Linked DNA regions of Schizosaccharomyces pombe. Changing the gene in region 1 together with any one later gene gives a genetic interaction. Each region holds a gene or a part of one and is shown in the gene's direction. Other genes may lie near its edges.

The links.
Region 2: mutations in scm3 (region 1) and mis18 impair growth when combined (synthetic growth defect), as found in Schizosaccharomyces pombe (one study listed by BioGRID).
Region 3: of scm3 (region 1) and mis17, extra expression of one impairs growth in a mutant of the other (dosage growth defect), as found in Schizosaccharomyces pombe (one study listed by BioGRID).
Region 4: mutations in scm3 (region 1) and mal2 impair growth when combined (synthetic growth defect), as found in Schizosaccharomyces pombe (one study listed by BioGRID).

Annotation. Positions count from the first base shown.
Region 1 is NC_003424.3:1,859,461-1,865,316, forward strand, and holds scm3 (CENP-A histone chaperone Scm3), read left to right. Parts: upstream 1-2,346; 5' UTR 2,347-2,473; coding exon 2,474-3,484; 3' UTR 3,485-3,672; downstream 3,673-5,856. Other genes in the region: cell surface adhesion protein for conjugation Mam3, read right to left, coding at 1-681; mRNA export receptor Nxt1, read left to right, coding at 3,903-3,921, 3,974-4,302; protein dpc13, read left to right, coding at 4,512-4,900, 4,955-4,997; geranylgeranyltransferase type 1 alpha subunit Cwp1, read right to left, coding at 5,213-5,420, 5,472-5,856. UniProt on the Schizosaccharomyces pombe protein: Centromeric protein that plays a central role in the incorporation and maintenance of histone H3-like variant CENPA at centromeres.
Region 2 is NC_003421.2:511,033-516,639, reverse strand, and holds mis18 (kinetochore protein Mis18), read left to right. Parts: upstream 1-1,832; 5' UTR 1,833-1,869; coding exon 1,870-2,023; exon of another isoform or gene 2,024-2,068; coding exon 2,069-2,129; exon of another isoform or gene 2,130-2,176; coding exon 2,177-2,263; exon of another isoform or gene 2,264-2,311; coding exon 2,312-2,347; exon of another isoform or gene 2,348-2,388; coding exon 2,389-2,473; exon of another isoform or gene 2,474-2,529; intron 2,530-2,547; coding exon 2,548-2,709; downstream 2,710-5,607. Other genes in the region: rad16 (DNA repair endonuclease XPF), read left to right, coding at 1-38, 88-436, 476-803, 846-971, 1,017-1,277, 1,318-1,734; dcw1 (mannan endo-1,6-alpha-mannosidase), read left to right, coding at 3,100-3,312, 3,359-3,931, 4,005-4,314, 4,365-4,597; cbr1 (cytochrome b5 reductase), read left to right, coding at 5,300-5,607. UniProt on the Schizosaccharomyces pombe protein: Component of the CENP-A recruiting complex that ensures the integrity of mitotic spindles through maintenance of kinetochore factors mis6/CENP-I and cnp1/CENP-A. Maintains the deacetylated state of histones specifically in the central core of the centromeres.
Region 3 is NC_003423.3:3,211,344-3,217,915, forward strand, and holds mis17 (kinetochore protein Mis17 ), read left to right. Parts: upstream 1-2,862; 5' UTR 2,863-2,927; coding exon 2,928-2,986; intron 2,987-3,026; coding exon 3,027-4,086; intron 4,087-4,135; coding exon 4,136-4,342; 3' UTR 4,343-4,595; downstream 4,596-6,572. Other genes in the region: rRNA processing protein Rrp7, read left to right, coding at 10-358, 407-774; transcription factor TFIIK complex ubiquitin-protein ligase E3 subunit, Pmh1, read right to left, coding at 988-1,129, 1,185-1,653, 1,699-1,772, 1,823-1,962, 2,024-2,127, 2,180-2,207; rtc5 (V-type ATPase inhibitor and disassembly protein linked to MTOR), read left to right, coding at 4,926-5,046, 5,099-5,159, 5,217-6,570. UniProt on the Schizosaccharomyces pombe protein: Component of the kinetochore, a multiprotein complex that assembles on centromeric DNA and attaches chromosomes to spindle microtubules, mediating chromosome segregation and sister chromatid segregation during meiosis and mitosis.
Region 4 is NC_003424.3:4,182,681-4,189,354, forward strand, and holds mal2 (kinetochore protein mal2), read left to right. Parts: upstream 1-2,601; 5' UTR 2,602-2,842; coding exon 2,843-3,754; 3' UTR 3,755-3,831; coding exon of another isoform or gene 3,832-4,545; 3' UTR 4,546-4,736; downstream 4,737-6,674. Other genes in the region: wybutosine biosynthesis protein Tyw3, read right to left, coding at 3,832-4,545; pop100 (Rnase P/MRP subunit), read left to right, coding at 4,867-6,674. UniProt on the Schizosaccharomyces pombe protein: Component of the kinetochore, a multiprotein complex that assembles on centromeric DNA and attaches chromosomes to spindle microtubules, mediating chromosome segregation and sister chromatid segregation during meiosis and mitosis.

The DNA of each region.
Region 1 (5,856 bases):
CGATTCGGTAGAAGTGATACTTACAGAAGTAAGTGTTTCCGAACTGCTAACAGCAGGGGAATTAACAGATGTAGTCAAAATCACTGTATTTGTGGATGAAGATGAGTCACTGGGTTCACTGGAAACATAACTAACAGAACTAGCTACTTTCGATGAAACGCTAGCTGATGGAGAAAATACGGGTGTTGATGAAGGGCTCATGGATAATGTGGAAATTTGAGAGCTAACAGCCGTACCAGTAGGTGAGTTGATAACAGATGAACTAGTACTAGAAGAAATGTCTACTGTAGAAGTGAAAGCTTGACCACAAGACAACGTAACATATTCTGTAACAGTTTGAACTCTGTCAACGTATTCCGTAACGGTGGAAGTAGGATTGGAAGAAGCTGCATTATTAGAATTGCCAACAGAGTCAATTAAGTCTTGAATGGAGGAGTTGGAAGACCCGATAACACCAATTATAGTAATGTACTTGGCATCTAAGGTACTTAGAATCTCAGAAGCAGAGGTTGAGTTATAGATATTGCCAACTTCGAGAGGGCTTGATTGGCAAGATTCTAAATTAGAAGATGAAATTAAACCTACTGACCGACTGACGTTAAAAGTGTCATCAAGTGCAGATGGGGATGCCCAGGAAAATCCTAGCAAAACGAGAATAAAGAAAGCCAAAGCAATCGACATGACGAATTATGGGAAGATCAAGCGATAAAAGAAAAATTATAATTAATAATGTTTTTCAAAGAAGAAGAAAAGAAAGTATTAAAAAGAAGCAAGACTCAAATCAAAAGATAGATAAAAAATTGAGAAATGCGATGCAATGCAATGAGAAGTTATTTCAAAATTCTACTAGTCTGAAAAAAACTAAAAAATGAAAAAGCAAAAGAGTGTCAAAAGGTAATGAGGAATAAGTAGACGAGCGAATGGCAAAATCAGAGAGGTTTCAAAAAAATCGAGTTAAGTGATCAAAATTCCTTGCTGAACCTATTTGTCAATTGCAATACTAGTACTAAAACAAAGTCTTCGTCGTTCCCTTCTTTTTTTTCTGATTGCAGTTTCTTATTCAGCTTGCTTTACGAAACCTTCAAATGTAATGACAAATATGGAGCTCTATGCGGTTTTTTATACTTAGGATCCATGGTGAAGGAATACAAAGAAATTCGAGTATTTGAACTATACAATGCTCAAACAATGGTGTAGTGTTTTAAAGAAAGTGCAATTATGGAGTAGTTGAAAGAGTTGCGCTGTACTCAACTTCCTTTGTTTCATCGGCATGCTGTGCTATTCAGGTAACGGGTACGTTTATTGTTGGAGGGGAATGAGTAATTCCTATTGTCATATTCCATATGGTGTAGTAATTCTTTTCATGTGAATGCTTCGGTAAAGAAATTGTTCAAAACAAGCATACCGTAAGAAACTGAAACATGAAACGACTCGGTTTTGCTTCAAGTTATAGAAGACTGTGTTCATGAGACTAAGTCACAAAGAGCCAAAAATAGTTTATTTTACAATACGTTCCCTATCGTGTCCAAATTGTTCTGTCGTTTTGTTTAACATTTCTATTGTTCTCGCTATTGTCTGTTTCACTTGGCACTTAGTAAGAATGCAAACAATGCCGAGATCAATTCATCCTTTGTTCTAATTATTTAGCGATGATTTCTCCAATTCTATGTTGTAATGGAATTGATAATAGTTACTAGTTGGTACAATAGACACTTTCTAAAAGAATTCTATTGAGGAGCTGCGCTACGTATCCTCATATTTACATGAATGAACAATCAAAATATGGCTAAACTTGTCGAACAGAACGCTTTCAACTAATACGAATTATTTGTGAAAGAAAGCCAAAGAATCGTCACGCTTCTTTGGGGCGATGTGACAAATGGAATGCTCAACTTATGGGATTTTTTTATTAAATTGTGCAAATGATGCAAAGTAATATTCACCAAAACGAGTATCCTTATTTTCTTTATTTTAGGTATCGTTGATTTCTCATTTTATCATTAAAAAAGTAATGTGGAATTGCTATGTTCGTTGGAATCCACAAGGTATCGCAGCGTTCGTTATTATTACAAAATTGTATGTCTATTAATTTTATGTATTTTAGAAATTCTTAAACAGTATAGAATTAGTGCAAGAACAGATAAATCAGTCTTTTGGAGCAATGAGTTAATTTACAAGCGTTAAGCGACCATCATTGAAATTACACTTTTGCATAAACTATTCAAAAGAACTTTTCATTATCTTTTTTTTTTGATCTCTAAGTTCTAACAGAAATTAAATCTAAAAGTCATTCGTGAATTAGTTACGAAACTCTAATACAAGTCTACAGTTATGGCACCGTTCACTAATAAACCACTACTGAAATCGCTTTCCTACTAATAACTGAAAATCTCCAATTTTTGCCTTAAGAAATTTATTGGAAAGGATTTTTTGAACAAAATTTCTCAATACCAAATGATTTTAACTTTCAATCATGTGCAATCGTCAACCGAAAGCCGTTGACCTGCCTCCAAACTATTCTTGTCCACATCTGTTGTCTTTTCAGTCTGTCGAATTTAATACTAATCCTACGGCTTGTGATGATGTGTTTTGTAAAAGAATTGAGTCCGAAAAGAAGTACAACGACTTTTTGGAATCTCTTTTCAAAAAATATGGACGCGACACTTCTGATATAGCTGATGAAGTAGATCTTGCAACTGGTGAAATTATTGTTAATAATGGACATCTAGAAGCTTTAAAAACAAAAGATGATATATGGGATCCTACATTTAACAACCTTGAAATCTCAGCGTCAAATGGATACGAAAAAAAATTAGACTCAAGCATTGGCAACCCAGGGGAAAAAGCTGTTTCACCAGTCCATATAGAGGATTTTCAGTCTCCCCAGATCTATAAATTTAAAAATCTATCACTTCGTGATGAAATGGTGTCAGATTGTGTGTTTGCAGATGAAGTTCCTTTAGCTTCACTTTTTGTGGAAAATGTTTGTAATGAAACTATACCCTCTCAGTCATGCGTGAGACTAAAAATCAATGATAAAACAAGAAAAGTTGATGCTTCAGCTTTGGAAAAAAAATCTTGTCTGTTGCCAAACTCATCAGGAACATTAACAGATCAGCGTGGTTTGGATACAATCAAGCATAAAAGCATAGAACAAAATGAGATTTTGCACGTCATCTCTGATACTTTATCTTCACCGAGAAGAAGGAACCCTTTATTATCATCTCCTAAAACTCCTTTACGTAGATCTTTTTCTAAGTCAAAAGTCCGAAACTCCAATTCTACAAAACGAAGAAACTTTATTTCATTAATTTCAATGATATCCCCTCGACCTAATCTTTCTACCCATCATTTTAATCTTGGTTTTCAACCTTTAAGTCAACAAACTTCGTTCTCAGGAAGTAGCACTCAGAACCCTCATTCTTCCAGCACTTGTAAAAAAGCATTTTGTTTCCAATGCATTTCTGAGTCAAAAAAATGTTGATTCAGCTTTAAACCACTTATTCTCCCATCTTCTTCGCTTGCCATACCATGGCTTTTAATGACCTATTTCTTCGAACATATATTTATTTTTTGTTTTCATTTACAACAAATTGTCTTTCGAGTTATCATGTTACATTCGAATATATATTTTTTTACTAATATATTAATCATTCGTTGAGTTTTTACGTGATCTATGCTTTTGTAGTATGGCAAATGAGTACACATAATTGTTCTCCACTCTTCATGTTATAAGTAAAAATCGTAGTCATAAAGATATCTAGCCGAAATATCCATTCAGTGTGTTGAACAAAGATTATCTTTAAATATCGCTTAATGAGTACAATATTTCAATTTATAACACATGTACCTGTTTAAATGACTACTTACACCACTACAAATTTCTGTCATTGTGAATCATTATGGAGTCGAGTGTAAAATGTATGTTAAATGCCGCATTACTAAAGCTTTATCTATAAACTAACAATTAAAGATGCGCAGGAGTTCGTCCAACGGTATTACTCATCTCTTGATACGAACAGAAATGGGATCGCAGAATTTTACAGAGAAAATAGTTTGATCTTATGGAATGGAAAACCCATGCAAGTAACCGAATTTACCTCTATGATAGTTAATCTTCCATACTCCAAAACTAAAGTTGAGGATTTCGATAGTCAACAGGTCATGGGTAATGATATGAATATCATAATTGTTGTTTCAGGAACAATACGTTTCGATGGAAAAAAACCTCATGTATTTTCGTATGTCAGTTTTTATTGTATTTACCTTCTTGTACTAAGATCCTCTACTAACTTCCTTTAAGAGACAATATAGTTCTACAACAGGAAGAATCAAAGTATTATATTGCCAGTCAAAATTTTAGAATTATGAGTGAATAATACGTATCCAAAACAAAGATTTCATTTCGTTTAGAGTTTGTATTAATTTGCCGCAGCAAGCTTATCTGAGCGACACATTCCCTAATCCCTCATACTTCTTTAGAACACAAAATTAACCACCACCTTACAAATATGAAATATTGGAAGTATTTGTCTCAGCTGACTATCAGAAGGCCTCTTACATACAACAATGCTCTTCTGTATAGGAATAGGTTTCCTAGTATATTAACATGGAAGAGAAGTGCGACTACGCAACCTGACGACACTATTTTCAAGGATCCAGTAATGGATGAGCAAGTCCAGAAACTTGAAGAGAAAATGAGTTCATTAGTTGTTAATGATCCGGAACTTGCTCAAAAGGTTGGCCGTCTTCGTCAGTTTTTTGAGAAATACGGCCTTGAAGCTGGTTCAAAACCGTCACCTCTTACTATCCTAAAGATTACTCGTGATCCGGAATTCAAGCAGTTAGCTGAAACTATCACGGAGATATTTAAAAAATCTGGAATTCAAAATGATCCTGCGTATGTTTTTTTGAATGTATTCCATTGATTGTGCGAACACTAACATATCTATAGATTTTTGGAACTTGTTCGAAGAAACCTTAAGAAAGAAAAGTAAAAATATGCCTCTGACATTTTTTTTATTCTTTGTTTGGCCTAATAACCATTACTTGTTCACTATTATGTGAAACTTACAATTGGAGGAATGACTAATGTTATTGATTTCATAAACGATTCACTATACATCACAACTACTTTCTTAATTAGTAGGAATTTTAAACAAGATGCTTTATCAAAATATCAGTAAACCCAATTAGCATTCAAAGCATAGATTTAAGGATTGCTCCTTTGGGACATCCATGTCCATAAAGCGGCATGCGGTACGTCAACCTCATTTGCTAGTTTTTGATAAATCTCTTCAGACGACGAAGGCTCGTACATAGCTAAAAACTCTAAGAGTGGCTTGTGTAAAGCAGGCAAATTTTTTCGGAGATTAGCTATGAGATTATCAAGTTTTGAAGGTCCTGATTTGTCAAGTACACTGTAAAAAAGTTAATGAAGAATGTAATTAATGGAAATGAGAGATACTTACCCACACAAATAATTCCAAGCACTCTGATTGTCAGGAGCAAAAAGGATTTTGTCTTTCAGATAATTCAGTTCCTCTTCCAAAGACCAAGAAACCACCTTGGAGGTTTCAAACAAAACATAAAATCTATGATTCCAAGCCGAATTGTTATAAATGTCTTTTTCCAATAATTCGTTGGTTAACTTCAGCTCTTGAGAATAATCATTAAAATTTTGCAAGATCCAAACTCGGTAGGACCAGACATGATAATTTTTACTGTCAATTTCAAACATCTTTTTCGTAAACTCAAGTTCACGCTCATAATTCTTAGTCAAAGAAAGTATTTTTTGCCTATGATGCCAAACCTGGTAGTTTTTTTGAAAATCTTCGGCAATTTCATCGAGCCATT
Region 2 (5,607 bases), on another chromosome or scaffold:
AGTGTGTCATGAAACAATGTTAGCAGATACAGATGCAGGTATAAAAAAAACTCTCTTTAAAGGAAGAAATATTAACAAATCTTTCAGAAACATCCAATAATTCGATAATGATTATGTGCGCAGATGAGCGTACTTGTTTACAGTTACGTGATTATTTGAGTACGGTGACTTACGACAATAAAGACTCTTTGAAAAATATGAATAGCAAATTAGTGGACTATTTTCAATGGAGAGAACAATATAGAAAGATGAGTAAATCAATCAAGAAACCAGAGCCTTCCAAGGAGCGAGAGGCTTCTAATACAACGTCTAGAAAAGGTGTTCCACCTTCAAAGAGAAGAAGGGTAAGAGGTGGAAACAATGCCACTTCACGCACAACTTCTGATAATACAGATGCGAATGATTCTTTTAGTAGGGATTTACGCCTAGAGAAAATGTACGCTAATTATTAGGTTTTACACGCTAATAAGTCTAGTCTGCTCTCACACTTATCCAAACGTTATGAACCTGAAGTGGGCAATGATGCATTTGAAGTTATTGATGATTTCAATTCCATCTATATCTATTCCTACAATGGTGAAAGAGATGAGTTAGTATTAAATAATTTAAGACCTCGGTACGTTATTATGTTCGATTCTGATCCCAATTTTATTCGAAGAGTCGAGGTTTACAAAGCTACATATCCCAAAAGATCTCTAAGGGTTTATTTTATGTACTATGGAGGATCGATTGAGGAGCAAAAATATCTTTTTTCTGTAAGGAGAGAGAAAGATTCATTCTCTCGTCTTATTAAAGAACGATCTGTAAGTTATTCTAAACTTTTCAAAACTTGCTAATCTAAAAAGAATATGGCTATCGTACTGACGGCTGATTCCGAAAGGTTCGAAAGCCAAGAGTCAAAGTTTTTAAGAAATGTCAATACTCGTATAGCTGGAGGAGGACAGTTATCGATCACAAATGAGAAACCTAGGGTACGTTCATTATATCTTATGTTTATATGTATTAAAACGTTAAAGGTTATCGTTGACTTGAGGGAATTCCGTAGTTCGTTACCTTCCATATTACATGGAAATAATTTTTCTGTTATCCCTTGCCAACTCTTAGTGGGAGATTATATATTATCACCAAAGATCTGTGTTGAAAGGAAGTCAATTAGAGATTTGATCCAATCATTAAGCAATGGCCGTCTTTATTCCCAATGTGAAGCTATGACTGAATATTATGAAATTCCAGTTTTGTTAATTGAATTCGAACAACACCAATCTTTTACATCTCCAGTAAGTCTGACTAAAACAATCTATGTCTGACAGCTTTTAGCCTTTCTCCGACCTTTCAAGCGAAATTGGAAAAAATGATGTTCAATCTAAACTGGTACTGTTAACATTATCGTTTCCCAACTTAAGGATTGTTTGGTCTTCTAGTGCCTACGTTACATCAATTATTTTTCAAGATTTGAAAGCCATGGAACAAGAACCAGATCCTGCTTCAGCTGCCTCTATAGGTTTGGAAGCTGGGCAAGACTCAACGAATACTTATAATCAAGCTCCACTCGACCTGCTAATGGGACTCCCATACATAACTATGAAAAACTACAGAAATGTGTTTTATGGAGGCGTGAAAGATATTCAAGAAGCTTCCGAAACCTCAGAAAGAAAATGGTCAGAACTAATTGGCCCCGAAGCAGGAAGGCGTCTTTATTCCTTCTTCCGAAAACAGTTAAAGGACTATGAGTAATTTATTTTTTTATAATTTTGTAATATATTTAATTTTTGCTTCTACATCTGATATATATTGGTTCACCATATATAGAATGTTAAGCGCACCTAATTAATAACGACTACTACTAGATAAAATGAACTTTCCATAAGTATGTCCCAGACGGAAACTAGTCATTCGGGCTATATTGATTTTAAAAAAGAGTCACAACCTAGCGTCTTCCAATGTAAAAAATGTTTTCAAATAGTTGGTGATTCTAATGCTTGGGTTATTTCTCATCGAGAATATCTTAGTTTCACTTTGAGTGGTATGTGGTAAAAGAAATGTCCATGTAATTAATTATTTCATTTAGATGCAGTAGAAAATAGTGTACGCGTTGAGGATACGTTTAAAAGGAGTGATGATGGTCTTTGGTATGTTGCATGTGTTGCTCGCCAGTTTACTAATACAAAAATTATAGCGTCTATTCAGAGTTGAGTTGTACTAGATGCAATGAAGTGATTGGGAAGGTGTATAATTCTACACCTATATATCTTGATGATATTAGGTATGTCTAGTCGTACTTGGTTGACCAAATTTTAACAAAATCATGTAGAGATATGTATACTTTTTCAATGGACAAATTACAAGCGTAAGTTCATGATTTCATCTTAGTTACTAACCCCAGTGAAGCTACCAACTAGGTAATAAGACCGTAAATCCTGAAGGCCTTACACGGTATCAAGTTGATTTAGAAATGAGAGAGGACATTATAAAGGCATGTACAGTGATTCTTTATATAGTAGAGAAAAATAAACTTTAAGAAGAATAAATTACTAATTTTATTTGTAGTTGAAGTCCTTTTGTCTCTCTCTATATGAAAAGTTCGAACTTCACGATGAAACTTTACGCTCAGTTAAGGAGACAATATCCAGTTTAAAAAAACCGAAAATTGAGGGAAAGGAAGGTAAAAAAGAAAAGGCAAGAACATACTCTAAACGAACGAGGAAATAAGTCCACCGCTAGAAAGTACTGGGATACCATGTACAAACTGTTATATTCAAACAGTTAAAATTGCGGTTAAAACAAAAAGACACAATTTAAATAATACCTTTTTGATGTATTTTTTCTAAGGTTTTCCTTCTTGCTCATTGTGATATGCATGGGGCTGTCGGTCTCACGAATAAATGTGAGAGTATTTTCATTGAAAGGCTTAAGAATTTTATAGAAGATAGATTGCGTTAAGTTATATTTTTTCCCTACCTTTGGTCGTTCGTTGTTTACTGTTTAGATTATTTCTATCAGTCATTAATGAGTCATCATTGAATCATATGAAGGGCGACAGTCATCTGGATACATATGGGAATCTTCAAAGATACTACTCTATTTAATCCTTCTTTTTCAATGAGTCTTACAATCTTTATTTCACTTGCAACTATTTTGTTTTCCTTCGCTGAAGCCATTTCGGTGGATTTGAATGACACGTCCTCCGTTGACTTAGCCACTTCTTTAGTAGCTGATGGATTATTGAATTATTATGCTGGTCAGCACAAAGGAGGAACTATCGGGATGTTCCTTCCTCCAGCCTACTGGTGGGAAGCCGGGGCTGCTTGGAATGTACGTTGAGCTTAAAAGTATAATTTATTAACAACAATGGCTTTAGGGACTTTTAAATAGATACATTGCCACTGGTAATAGTACATATAACGAGTTGGTAAAGACCAGCATGTTGTACCAATCTGGAGAGGATTCAGATTATATGCCTTCGAATTATACAACATCTGAGGGAAATGACGATCAGGCATTTTGGGGTCTGACCGTTATATCTGCCGCTGAAGCAAACTTTTCAAATCCAGCAGCCGATGAACCACAATGGTTGGAACTGGCTCAAGCTGTATTCAACCAACAGGTCACACGATGGGACACGGATCATTGCAACGGTGGTCTTCGATGGCAGATTACTGAATTTAACTCTGGGTACAACTATAAGAACACTGTCTCAAATGGAGCATTTTTTCAGCTTGCAGCTCGACTGGCTCGATTCACCGATAACGATACTTATGCTGAGTGGGCTAATGTAGCATACGATTGGAGCCAAAGGATTGGGTTTATTCAAGAAGATTACACTGTATTTGATGGGAGTTCTATAAAAGATAATTGCTCATCTATCGAAATTACTCAGTGGACTTACAATATAGGATTATACATGGCAGGAGCAGCTTACATGTATAACTATGTACGTTTAAAGGATATATACATTATAACTTTACTGTAAAATGCAAAATGATTGTAACTAACAGTTTCACCAGACGAACTCTACGGTATGGAAAACTCGAGTTGAAGGTTTTGCCAACAAAACTGCCAAAACCTTTTTTTTCAAGGATATTATGTTCGAACCAGTATGTGAAATAGCTCTTTCATGTAACTATGATCAAACGTCTTTCAAAGGCTTTTTGACCAGATTTATGGTCTACACGGCACAAATGGCTCCATTCACTGCACCGTTATTAGAACCATTGTTGATATCCACCGCCAAAGCTGCAGCCGGGGCATGTTGCGGCGGTTATGATGGAGTGACTTGTGGTGTTCAATGGTGGTGGAATAACGATACTTGGGATGGTATGTTTGACTGTTAAAAAAAAACAGTATTGGTTCTAACTTTATAATAGGACTTTATGGCCTTGGAGAGCAAATGTCTGCATTGGAAGCTATTCAAGCTCCCTTACTTTTAAAATCGCTTCAAGTCTTTAAGGCTTCGAATGGAGGATCATCAACAGGAGACCCCAATGCAGGGCTTTATACTGCTCCTGTATCTTTCGCTAACAAAAATTTTGAAAACCTGAGGAAACATTGGATGCTATTGGGGTTCTTCCTTTTAGTGCCTACACTGGTCCTTTACTAAAAAATGTGATGTTAAGTAATGCAAGTTGATGGATCTAGGGTTTTTAAATTGCTTCTTCTTACTTGGAAACAATTACCTGTCTTTTAATGCTTGTTCCTCAGAGACGGTGTTTCACTTCCAAACTGTATACCGAATTATATATAAATAGATGGATATATCTCATGTATTCCGGTAGTAGATCATTGCTGAAAGACTATTTATTAACGAATTTACAAAATTTAGTTATTAAAATTTAATTCATTTCTTAAATTATGAATCGGCGTGATAAACAAGCATATGCTTGCGAACAAGTATGGTTCGACAAGCTGGTTTTTCAAAATAAATAATTTTAGCAGATTTTGAAGCGAAAGCCCTCAATCTATATAATTTACAATGAAATGGATTATGTGATGATTTATGTTCTCTTTCGTCAGTATTCCATGCTTAGTTGTTCATGACCTTAAAAAATCATTCGAGAAATCTGATTAGTTTTATAGACTTGCCCTTGACCAAACTTCTACTGTTAGCAATACTGCAGGAATCGTGAAAACTAGAGATTTCTTTTAAATTTTTTGAAACTATTGAAAGGTTTCTTATTCTTTAAATTATTTTAGTTTCTTGAAGATTTTGTAATTTGAGTCTTCTGGAAACGTTTCGCATTTCTTCTGCTTTCAGGCTTCTCTACTTTTTCTTTAGTTATTTTGGCTCACAATCCTAATTGAAATGGCCAAACAAACTCTTCTTAGTACCCCGTTGCATGGAGTCTATATTCCAGTGTTTTTGATCATCTTTGGTACTTACATTGTGAAACGCGAATGGGTGGGTTACGCTATTGTTGTGGCATTCTCTCTTGGTTTTCATAAGTTCTGGCGTGGACGCGTTCGTAAAGTATTGAGTGATAAAATTCAACAATTTGAACTTAGTGATAAAGCTGTATTGAACCACAACACTGCCATTTATCGTTTCCGTCTGCCTCGCGCTAACGATGTTCTTGGTCTCCCCATAGGACAACATTTAAAGGTCTTTGTTGA
Region 3 (6,572 bases), on another chromosome or scaffold:
CTCATATAAATGGACAAGCTCAAAGAAAAAGGGTTTGTTAAACTAGAAATTTATTTGGAAAATAAAAAGAGGTTGCATAGTATATTTTTGAAAGAAGACACGGAAGATGTTGAAAAGAAGTCACTGTATTTGATTAATGTTCCTATCACAACTACTGAAAAGATTTTGAAAAGAGCAATTTCTCAATTGGGCGGTCGTATCGTTAATATCTATCCTAATATTAGTGGCCTTTTGAAAAGTGGCACCCATTTACGCGTCAAATTAGTCGAGCCCGCTGAAGTTAAACAAGTTATCAAGGCAGCTTCTAAAAAGACGACCTCGCTTCCTTGGAAGTTCACACAGCATACTGGTTTGAAACGTAAGAACATGGTCATTATTTTTTTGGAAATACTAATGTGTTTAATAGGTTATGTAGAAAGTTATGATAGACAGTTTGTCAATCCACGTGTTCTAGCCGAAAGTGTTGATTCATACATGAAACGTGTTACTAAAAAGGAAATAGCAGAAAAGAGGAGACTATTCGCTATGAAAAATCAACCTGATGAAGATGGATTCGTAACGGTCGTTCGCAGCGGCCGGGCACCTGTCGGGCGACCTCAGGATGCTGAGCGTCAATTGGAAAAGAAAAAAGACACTGGGATCCACAAAGATTTTTACCGTTTCCAGCTTCGGGAAAAGAAAAAGAAGGCTCTTTTGGATTTAGCTCATAAGTTTGAGTTCGATAAACAGCGTATCCAACAATTAAAAGAAAAGCGGCAATTCAAACCGTATTAATATTATAGGTTTTAATCTTTTTGGGAGCATCACAAGGATTTGTTTTAGTTTGTATATTTTAGGGATAATGGTAATATACAAAGGCTATGATTTACTAATACAAAGAATAAAGTATACTTACCACAAACGTATATAAATATATTAGTATGAAAATGGAATAGTCGTTTACTTAAAAATGAAATGTAACTGCATGGTGAGAGCATTAAAGCAAGACTAACTTGCTACTTCAAGTTTTTTGAGACTTTCTAAATCGTAATCAATGCCACTAAAAGCCTCATATAAGCATCGCAAATGACAATCTTCTATACGGAAACCGCATTTGCGGCCTGGTTCATGCGAAACTTTTTCCAAATATCTAATCGAGTTGTTAGTATGATATTTATGGGTGATGCTACAAAATTGACACTTACAAATCTTGATAGGTGTTTTTGGAGTATGAAAAATACTTGCTCCCATCTTTTTCTCCAGCAAGAGGACTAAAAGGCGTAGTATCCTCTGCTACTTGCTGAACATCAGATAGAAGAATTGAAGATGAACGTGAAATGTTTGAAACCGAAGAGGCAATGTTTTCTTGTTGCTTTTTAAGGGAATCAGATAGTTGGATAATTTTGTTAGGATCTTTTCCTGATGTAGCTAAATCAAAAATAATTTGTTGCTCAACCTGTTCACGTCTTTCCTTTTCTTTTTGATGCTCACGTATAGCCGCTTCTCTTGCTTCTTGCTTTTGGCGTTTGAGAAGAATCTCGTTTTGAGCCAAAATGCGTGCTTCTGCGGCGGCTCTTGCAGAATTTGCTGCTATAGAATCTCGATTTTGTTTTTCATATTGTTTAACTTTTTCCTCAGTTTCTTCAACGTCGATTTTATAAATCAAATTAAATGCTAAAAAAAATTGTTAATAAAATTCTGACGCTGTCAATAACATACTTAAAATTTCAACTTCTTCCAAGTAGTCATTGTAAGCCTGCAAGCTGTCAAATTCTTGCTGTCCTTTGTTAAAGCTAAAAACGCACGTTAGAGTAAATTAAAAAAAAAGCTACAGTGTTCGTACATTCGAGATATCCGCTTCCGAACATCGACTTCGCGCTCAATTTGAGCATCTTCAAATGTTTGCTCTCGAAATTTGGCTTTTCTGAGAATTTTGTTGCACCCAGGAGTAGGGCATTGAGCAGGTCCAGTTGTAAATATTCTCTATGAATTAGCAAATCATGCTTCATTTCTTATTTGTATTAACAAATGCAATCAAACATACGTCTACACAAGACTCACACATCTTGTGATAGCACTCAGGGTTTATAAGTAATTTCATATTTGGATTTAAATATCTGTCCGCCTGGCACAACGGACATTTTTCATCTATATGTCTCGGTCAGCTTTAAAATAAATCAGGTAATTAATTAATGCTTACCAACTTTCCTAGCACCTTCATCGTCCATCTTTCTTTTATAGTTTACTTTTATTAATTCGTATTATGCAGTGAACGGGAATGACAAACGATAAATTCAAAGTTTCAATCGAATTTATGTTGAATAGTAAACGTTACTTTTCGGATTGTATAAAGAAATAATATTTGGACAAAAAAAGCGCGCAATACGTGGTGTTAAACTTTTAGAAGTAGTCGCCTTCAATATTACAAACACGACGACCATCAACTCATTCCCTAGCTACCAGCTATCTAAAGTCTTTTGAGTCCAAAAATACGAAAATTTAGATTAATGTAATAATAATTATTGAACCAACATAAATATTAACTAAATTTGGTTCCGTTTGTCGTATAACTTGGTAATTTCTATGTATACGGGCATGCAATCAGAAAACTTAATGGACATTTACTAAATTTGATCAGTTTGTTAAAAAATAAAATTATCTATTTTATTCTCACATAGGAGTTTGGAAAATTTTCAATAGTTACGAACTTGAATTTGAATGTTTTATATATATGTCGAACATTTAACTATTAAACTACATAGGTGTAATTTGTTTGCTTTATGAATACGTAGTTTAAAATATATGGTGTTAAAATTATTATTTGGGCTGTACAAAGAATAGCTAAAATCAATTCATGACTAGAAAGAAAGGCTGGATGAATTCGTCAACTACCAAAACCCCATGTTTGACTATACGCGTAGAAAAGCAAAAATTTTGCATGAAATATTATGGAAAATAACTCCCATAACGTAGATGAGCGACGAGCAGCACGAATGCGTGGAGCTGAGTATGTTATTTCAAAACTTTGTAAAAATTAACCAATGTAGACGCTACAAAATTCAAAATGTTGAGTTTTCATTAGATCAAAACCTTCTGGCCAATTTAGAGTCATCTACTTCTAGTTCAACTCGTTCTTCGCCTGCTTCAAACCAACAAAACCTTGAAATTGTATCTCAATCAGAGGCATATCATAAAATTAGCGATTTGGATGACAGTACATCTATTTTTTCTATTTCCGATCAAGAAAATATACTTGAAAGAAGGATTTCTGAAGAAGTAGTTCGGGAAAATTCCGTTTCCAGCATCGAAAATGTATCTTCATCGGCTGTCGCACGTGAGACGCAGAGTAGCGCAAATATTTTAGTCAAAGACAATCATTTTTTTTCTCATAAGCAGAAAAAAATACAAAGGGAATCCATTCCGTTTCACAAACGTGATAATATAGAAACCTCTGATGCATATAGTTCTTCAATCCTAGAAAATTCACCACCTAACAAAGTACAAAGGCTGTCATCTCTCGACTCATCTCAAGATTCGTTCCAAGAGGAACATCCAGGCAATGTGACAGGAACAACATTTAGTTCTCAGGCCCCTGAAGAGCGAATTGCTTCTCCTATCTCCACTTCTTCTCCGGAATCTTTGACGAATCAAAGTAGTAGTCTGCAAAGTTCCTTACAGACATCATCAATGGCTCCTAGAAATCTTTTGGATCAATCAACAGAAAAGGATATTGTAGTGGGAGCCTCAGATGAGCTCGTGCGTATCGAGTTAACCAAACTTTCTAAAGAAGCAGGAGGGTCAAAGACTCTTAATGAGCTTGATGCCGTACAGCAATTTTTTCAAGAATTTATAAAAGAGAATGAGCCACTAGAACCCTATGTAGTCAAGGTAAAAAATGCGTTTGTGGAACAAGTTTCTATTCGTTTACTAGAGTTAATAGACTTGCTGGACGCTAATCGAATTTTATCAACAGCTTGTAAAAAAGCAGCAAATGAGAAACTAGCTGTTCAACGGGATCTCTCGAAATTGAGGGAAGATCGACTATCAGTGCAACGTAAAAAAATACAGTTACGAAATGAGTACATTAAATTGTCCCATCAACAAAACGTACGCATAACATTGGCTCTTTAATTTACGCTTAACTAACTTAATATAGTTTTTGGATGATATTGACGATTTCTTCTCACAATGCGAAACAGTGAAAAACGAATTAGAAAATGTAACCACAACTCCAAACTCTACCGAAGCTTTTTCAGAAATAAATGAATATGCGTCTGCTTTATCAAAAAATTATGGACTCGAATCGCAGCTAGTTGAATTACAGTCTTTACTAACCCAATTTTATCAAAAATTCCTTTCCTAAAAGTTGCCATATCGCAACTTCTCCGCTGTCTTTCTATCACCTTTTTGTATAATTTTTCATTTCGGTGCGTCTGTTTGGGAAATCGGCTGGATTTCTACTGTTTCTTAAAGTTTTGCTTTTCTTGTGTTCTAAACTACCCTTTATCTTTTGCTAATGTGAAAGCTTTGATTGGGTTTTTGTATATAAAATTTTTTGAAATATGAGTATATGAATATATGAATGTATAATAAATGGCATGTCATTATTACCCCAATTTTCTATTTCGACAGCATTTCCGTTTTAAATTGTATGCTGCATAATTTTCTAGTAGAAATTCGACTTTTTCGTCACTAACTTGAACTGCTTACACTTACAATTGAGCATGTATTTTTTTAACAAGTTAGGAAAATAAAAAAAACAAAAAAATGCAAAGGAATTTGCTTCTAAATGGATATCTTTGTATATCGCGTTTGTTTTCAATTTAGATGAGTATTAAGTGCAATATTAGTTAACTTGTAACTTCGTTTAGCACAACTCTATTTTCATAGAATATGAAGTCATATTCACTACACTCTGAATCACGCCGAAGATACCCAGCCCAAAAATGGGTCAAAAGGAGTCCCAATTTAAAGTTCTTTGGCAGTTACAGACTCATGAAGAATATATGAAACAAACTTCTTCTTTCTTACGAGACTTTAATGCTTTAGAACGGTATAATTTAAAAGGTTTGTCAATTTTCGTAATTTTGTTTAACAAAGCTAATGATTTAATAAAAAGAGAATTTCGAGGCTTTATCAAGCTTTGATAATGGTGAAAAAATTTGGGTTGAGGATGCCTTGTATGTTCGCTTTTAAAGGTATTGTTGAAATTGTTCATTCTAACAAAGGTGCTTTAGCACGACGTTCTTTGGAATTCCAGACGTTATCCAACTTTCACCATTTTTTTATCGCTCCGCTTGTAGTTTTGGAAGGGATCTTAATATCAATAGGCAACGTCTTACATTTTCTGCTCTCGCGAGATTTCTTGCTTCTTACACTGGTCGCCACAAAGATGTTTGGAGTGATTTTGAGAGCAATTTGATGATCATAGCAAGTTGGTGTGACTCTTTTCCAAAATTTAGAGTAGAAGTTTTAAAAAATTCTAAACAAATTTCGCGGTTAATACATAGTGATGTTCAGAACATAAGCAATTTTTTTGATCAAAACTTCGGTATACGGAGGTCAAATATTTATCAGCTATGTTTGCTGTTACTTTGCATTTCTAAACTTAAGCCTGGTGAATCGGTTGGTTGTCATATTAATTCGTTTTTGGACTCTATGTTTGTGAAAGAACAAAAAGCTGCCTTTTATGTGCTACAAGGTATAAGTCCGGATATATCTAGTAATATTATAAAACCGAGTTATTTACTTCATTTTCTTGAGTCAAATCCATATTTCCTTAAATCTCTAGGATCTTTATTTGAGTTGGCACTATTTCCGCATTCAGCTCACAATCAAAAAGTGCAAGATGATGTGTCACCGTTAAACGACTTTGCAATTCTGAGCCCACTTATCCATGCTCAAATCTGTTTTTTTTTACCCAAATCTGTATGGCAGGTCAATGGCTTGACAAGTCTGTTTAGAGCAAGCTTTCATGGTTACTCAATGTACGCACTAGAGAGAAAAATGTGTAATTATCACAATCCTTCGATTCTCTTAATTAAAGCAAAGAAAATCAATGCCAATCACAAATCCTCTTCTAGACCAATATCATTAGATGCTACAATTCCGAGAAAATATCCACCACACTGCATTGGGACTGATAAAGCTGTGCCTCAAAAATTTGGTGCAGATTTTCACAATGAAAATATCTTACTTGGTGCTTATATATCCACTCGTTGGAGACAATCGCATATGGGATTTTTTGGAGACCATTCAACATTATTATTTCAACTTCAGCCTATACATCAAGTTTATTACGCTTCCAATCTTGATAAAAATTACTGTATGTTCGACAAAAATGTTGGCCTGGGTTTTGGCCTCAGCCGTCATAAAGTGACTAACAAAGTGCAATATGATGTACCCGGAGTATGCATGTATATTGATGATGGTCTAGAGTATGGATTATTTAGACATGCTGGTGATGGAGCATTCAAGCCTGCGACAAATTACGAAAACTTTGAATATGAAGAAAGATTTTTAATTCAAGACTTAGAGGTCATAGGAGTTGATACTACAAAACCGGTAGAGCCAATCCACATCGGATTATAATG
Region 4 (6,674 bases), 2.3 Mb from region 1:
ATGTATTAAAATCTAAAGTGCTTACAAAACCAAAGTAAAGTTTATAAAATTATTATAACAATAAATTTGACAACTTTTTTTATCCTGTTTATGTAAAACAACAAGAAAAGTAAATATGAAAAATTATAATAGCAAGTCTCAAGATTGTAAAAGACTTCAAGTGCTTTCTTTTCCTGTTTTAAATATAATTGGTATGAAAAGTCAGCAATAACTCGTCCAAAGAAATATTAATGGATCGTTATATTCAGACGATGCAGACTGCAACCAGTTTCATAAAATAAAATAAAAAATTAAAAATAATACTTTAGCAAGTTTTCAAACTGCTTAAGTGAGTTCTGTAAACAGAGGCTTGTAGGCAAAACCCTTCTTTATATAAAATCGTTATCTGGTCAACCTGTCCTTATCTCGTCTCTATATCGTTGCTTTTTCATCACCCTCGGTCCTTATCTGCATAGAGCGAATTGAAGGTGCGAGATATCCAATCATCACACGGTGGTGATGGTGCATATATGATAAGGTGCAGTAGGGGGGCCTAGTGCAGCCGAACTCGCTGTAAGGATTGGCAAGGGTAAGGAGGATACAATGAAGGAGGACTGTAAAGGGAAGAGCTTTCAGTCGTAAATTTACAGAAAAAATCTAGTTAGGAGAGAAGGAATTCGCCTTTGAATATGATACTTCGAATGGGAAAGATGAATGGCATAAATATGGCGGAATTTTCATCCTAATACAGCCTCGTTACTTCTCTTTAAACCCATTTAATGAATCGCTGAATATTGCCTAATACTAAGCTTGTGATCGGGCGGTTTCACTGTAAGGTGATTGGAACGTGGCATGGACTATGATAGTGAAACCCTGGCCTATCGTAAGTGGGGGGAGTGGGGGACTCCCCGATGCATTGATAAGTGTGACCCAAAAAAACAAGCGCTAATTCAATGCGCTAAAATACGATAAAGGTGCATAGTGACACGCGTTAGATCATGGTATATGAGTAGCAATATTGTAGCAGAGGAATAATAGGGTTGGTAGTAAACGAGTATATACAGTGTTTATAAACCGAAAGTCGAATAGTAGGAAAAATAGCAGTGATGAGAGTCGAAAGACGAACATCAATAATTTTTGTTTCTGTTTGACTTTTGATCGTTGTTTATGGACTTTTCCGTTTTTCAGTCAGCAGTGGTAATTTGTGTTTACACTCGTATGCCTTGTATGCCCAGAACTAAAGCTCATCTAAGCAATCCCTACTATAGAAGAGAAAAATAAATAAATAAAATAAATAATAATAAAAAAAAAATCTACCTTACTTCATTCAAATTTATTTCATTGGGTTTTATTTTCTTTTTAGTAATCACTTTAACTCACCGCTATTTTGGAAATTGTAGATTTTTTATTGAATATCGCCGATTTTTAGTGTTTTACAAACTGTAAGCCCAATGTCGCTTGAACCCAGTTTTACAGTCTGGATGAATTGATTTTCTTTGTATTACAAAGACTTTTCTATTAAATTTTCATTTTCTCAATTGTATCAAAGACATGACAGCAAAAATCAACTCGACACTATGAAATATACTATATAACAATTGCCTGTTTTATAGATGCCAAACTGATTTTATAAAAAAGAATGTAAAAGAAAATAAATGAACTAAAAAAAATTTAGTTTTCTACAAAAAAGCAAAAAGCCTACAGCACCCCGGATTCCCATGTTGTCTCCAACCATAGTACTAACGAGGCCCTCAGACGCTTAACTGCAGTGATCGGACGGGAACTGGTGTTTTCGCCTAGGTATGGCCGTAGACATTTGCTTCATTAATTTAAACTATATATACTGTAATTAAAGAATGTAATTTATCATGTTTGTTCTAGCTCATTGTAAACAAATACCACTTAAAAGTTCACATTATATTATTTAACATTGAATAATACATTCTCCCTTTGCATTCATTTAACACAAACTTGGCTTTTGTCAAATCAAAACCCCATGTACATTCAACGATCCTTAAAACTGCTACAATGTATAGCACTTGCGCGCTCATAATCTAATATTAAATATACAATTTTGTTGCTTTCTTAATGCAATATGAATGTTTTAAGGGATTGTACGTGAAGAGCTTTAATAAAAGAATTGTTAATAGGGATGCACTAATTGGTGAGTTATAAAATGTAATGATTTTAAAATCATTTATATAAGAAGGAAAACTACCTTCATTTTTTTTCTTTACTAATTTATTTTTCTTTTTTTTTAATGTCATTTTGTTAAATGTCATTATTTTTTCTTCAAAATAATTCTCATTTCCTGGATTATGTCAATTTAATTCTATATATTTTATAAGTTAAATTTCTTTGTTCTTGTAAATAACCATTCTGTTTTCTTTCCTAGATTTTAATTTTAATTTTTTTTTTTAAACTGGCGATTTAATTATCTTCAATTTTATATAGTTATATACAACTTGTCCGACTTTGCTTTCTATACATTTCTTTGTTATTGTAACTCATTAAGAAAATATTTAATTTACATATTATCAAACAGTTAAAAATATTGCATAATTTTTCGTTTCGTTGCAAATAGATTTGCAATCTTCATTTTTTCCTATCCATTACATCTTCAAACCTACCAATCTCTAATTTTGATCTAATTACAAATCTCGTCTAAAATACTATTCCAGTTCGAAACTCTGAAATGCTACAGTGATTAAATTATAAAAGCTGCTGTGTATTTCGACGCTTTGACATACGTGGACGAGTCTAAGCGTAACTGAATTTCTATGCTTGGTTCATGTTATCAATAAGGCCCTAAGAAACTGTTGAAACTACAGTTTTTTTAGTTCCATGAATTTTTTTTGCTGCCATGGACGATGAAGAAGGCAATGCGACACTCATCGATGAAATTTCCGTCCTTGAAGCCAGAAGGGATGTATTGCTTGATGAATTAAAGTCTTTAGATAATGCGACACTGTCCGATCTCGTTCAGAAGCCCGAGTTGTCCAAAAATTTATCTGTAAACAATGAATTTCTGAAAGAGACTCCGTTAAATCAACCTGCACTGCATTATGATCGACTTTCTGGTATTTCCTTTTTCCAACCCAATGATCCTGAGGAGTTATCTAGAAAGACCCTTCTCGTAAAAAATAAAAAGACAGGAGCCATTGAGACTGCTCCTTCTATACCGCTTCTTGGTGTCCGGTTCGATATCATGTTGAATCCAGTAAATATAGGCTTTACGAATCTCTCAGAGAATCCAATATCTTCCGCCTCTGGCATGGACGAAGAACTAGAAGGTGGAAATAGATTTGATGTTCCCTATTATATAATTTTTCGAGTATTTCACGACTCGTTTGCTTTATATAAATATACGATTCCAAGCTTTCTGAACATACAAGAATGGGCTGACGAGTATTTGACTGGAAAGAACCCTGAAAGGTTTAGAATATTTTTGTGGAAAGTAGATAAATTATTGACCGCATATATCTGTCGTAAAAACGCACTTTTACAAATCAATAAGTCTTTGACAATTGATGGGACAAACATATCTGCCAATCTTTCTTGTACACATCTTGTCATTCAAATTCCGAAAGTCATTCAAGCTACCCTTGTTTGCTCTTCAGAATCCACTAGAGTGGTCAAATCAAGGATATATCAGTATTCTGATGAAAACTGGAAAAGAGATCACAGACTTGAACTATCTTTATTAGACAACAAACGTTGGGTTAATATACTTGTATCACACCTAACTGCTCCAGAAAGTCATGCTTCGTTATGATTGTTTATTACCATACTCTTATTATTATTAGACAGGGACTATCTTTTTATACAAAAAACTTTATACTTGTTAGTTATTTACGATTGCACCAAATAATCGTCCATATTCCTTAATTTCCGCCTTGGTTTCATCCTTTTCTCTACCTGTCTCTCCAGTTGCTCTTTCAGTCTAGCCATTCGATTTCCATTTTCAGTAAAATACTCAACGCTTCTCTTGAAAAGGAAGCACATGTATTCACGAGTAATGTAAAACTGAAGCTTTTCGGATGCTGTAAGACATCCTATAGGAATATCCATTCGTAAACTTGTTCTAATAGCCACAATAAACTTCTGCTCACTACCTTGAATTCCTGTTTCCCGAAAACCGCAGCTTGCTGCTACTCTTTGCAAATGCTGAGCATTCGCTAAACTTCTCGTTTGAACATGCAGAATCATGGGTTCAAAAGCGTATTGTATTTCCCGATTTCCTTCTACCGGAGAACTGGGAACCTTTCCGTATTCCACTTTTTCATCTTCTAAAACCGGTGGTAGTTCTTCATGTGCCTGATGACTAACGAAAAGCCAGTATCCACCTCCTTTTCTGGAATTTGCTCCTTGTACATAGACTGAAATTCTTCCTGAACATGAACTAGTTGTTACCCAATCCGGGTGGGAGTTTATAACATCTAGCAATGGAAATATTGGGCTATCTGGGTGTCCTTTGGGTGATGCATCAGGTACGGAGGATTTCAAGCCTTCTAAGATTTCTTTTTTTTGAGCATCAAATGATACATCTATTCCTTTTATATTCATTCAAATTGTTCTTCAAGGAACTCCTTGCAACGACTTAATTCAACTCGTTGGTGGATTCTTACAACTTTTCAACTTGCGTTGTCAACTTGCCAAATCAAGCACCTACATTTTTTTTTCTAAATTCAAAACAATATTTGCAGATTCGTTTGCTCAAACCTAATAAATAAAAGAAATCAAATAGAAAAAATCATTTTTATGGTATTTTCGTACGCGCTTGAGTAATTTATCAATCCATGCAACAAACAAGTTCCACTGTATAATATTAACTTCCTAATTAAGGCTGCTACAAAAACCGTCCCCCACTTTATCTAATTTTATGAAATGAAGCGTTCAACTGGAGGAACGCAACCAAAGGGACTAAACGTCAAAAGGTCAAAGCTCGCTGATGCTAGATTCATAGAGGTTGAATCACCTGCCCTTTCAAATGGTGCTGTAGACTTAAAAAAATTCATTGAATCAAGGAGTTTTGAAATAACGGCTTTACAAGATGCTATGAAAAGATCAAAAGAATCCAGCGCTCAGCGTGCTTTCCAAGCTCTTCCTCGATGTTTACGAAGAAGAGCAGCTTCTCATAATATAAAAAGGATACCTAAAGGTTTAAGGGATAGAGCTTTATATGAAATGCAACTCAGTTCCTCATCTACTTTGCCCATTGCACCTTCCAGACAACGGTTAAAGAGATTCATCAAACGCTTGCGAAGAAAGTTAGCTAAATCAGGTGAAACCAAAGCAATTGACAGTACGGGAAGCTTGGTTACAGACAATTCTACAGATGATTCGCGAATTCCGTCCTTGGCTGCCGTCAAGTTAATACGTGGAAAATTTGCTGGTCGTCAACTTCGGAAGGTATGGCTTCCCACTCATTTATGGGTATGCAAACGCGCACACATGATAAATGCTTGGGGATATGCCATTCCCGAAAAACCGACTGAGAAATCCTATCGTCCTACCCATCGAGCAGCTTTTCGGAAAGATGCAATTGCATTCGACATGTCTTATGAACCATTGTTTTGCATTAGCGGGCCATACGAAGCTCTCAAAGAAAAGTTTGGAAATTCTTTTGCAAACGGACTGCCTCCTGTATTTCTGAATTCTTCTAGATCATTTACATCTTACCTCGTGAAGTCTGACATACACGAGCTCATATGCCCTTGTTTTCTACAATGGAATAACCCTACAGAAGATGACAAAAAACAGATCCCTGTAAAAAATCCTACCGAATGTGTGCAGTTAGTTATACGTTTACATCCATCTGCATTTCTACAAGCATGGAATTACTTATCTGGTATAGCTGTTTTGGATGATCGCATTGCTATGCACGATTGGCGACTAGATCTAGCATCTTTTGATATTCACGGACCCGATAGCAACATTATGCTCCACAAAGTATTTGACGACGTTGAATTAGATGAAGCAGGAAAAGTTTGGCAGTCGATTTCCAATTATTCAAGCGCATGCTTACCCATGGGCGCCTCGATATCTGTGAAAGCATTAGTTAATACTCGTTGCGATAAAAATTTATCCGAAAAGGGAGAAAAAAGCTTATTAGATTCTGCTGAAAACAGTTTACCAGCATCTGCAAACCAATATAGCACTCATTTTAGGTATTGGGAGAGACAGGAAATACCCTCTTTTGCAGTTTTTGAGAATAAAAATAGACATACTCATGAGAAAAAATCTTCTGAAAAAGAAGTTATACCCGTGTATATTACGTATAGAAAAGAATGGAACGGACTCACTGTTATTTTGCCTTGGGATTATGCCAAGTTTGTATGGAGGAAGATGATGTATCAAAAAGGAATACGTTTTGGCGGATTAGAAAATTTGCACCAAATTGCGTTTGAAAAAAGAATGCCTTTCTTTCCGATTGATTATCCAGATACGATTAGTGGGCAACTTTGCGAAGAGGAAAGAAAAAAACGAAATGAAGATAGCTGGAAAAGACGTCCACCTGCCAAACGCGTAAATTATCAAAAATTCGGAGATAATTTTTCAGAAATAGGTAACCCGTTTTGTTGTGATTGGGTTTATCTAAACGAGATGGTTAAGGCTTCACGAGATGAAGATAAAACTCTGCAGCTAGTACGTGTTCAAGTACAGTTGGTGCAAAGAGGTAGCCTGCAAGATCG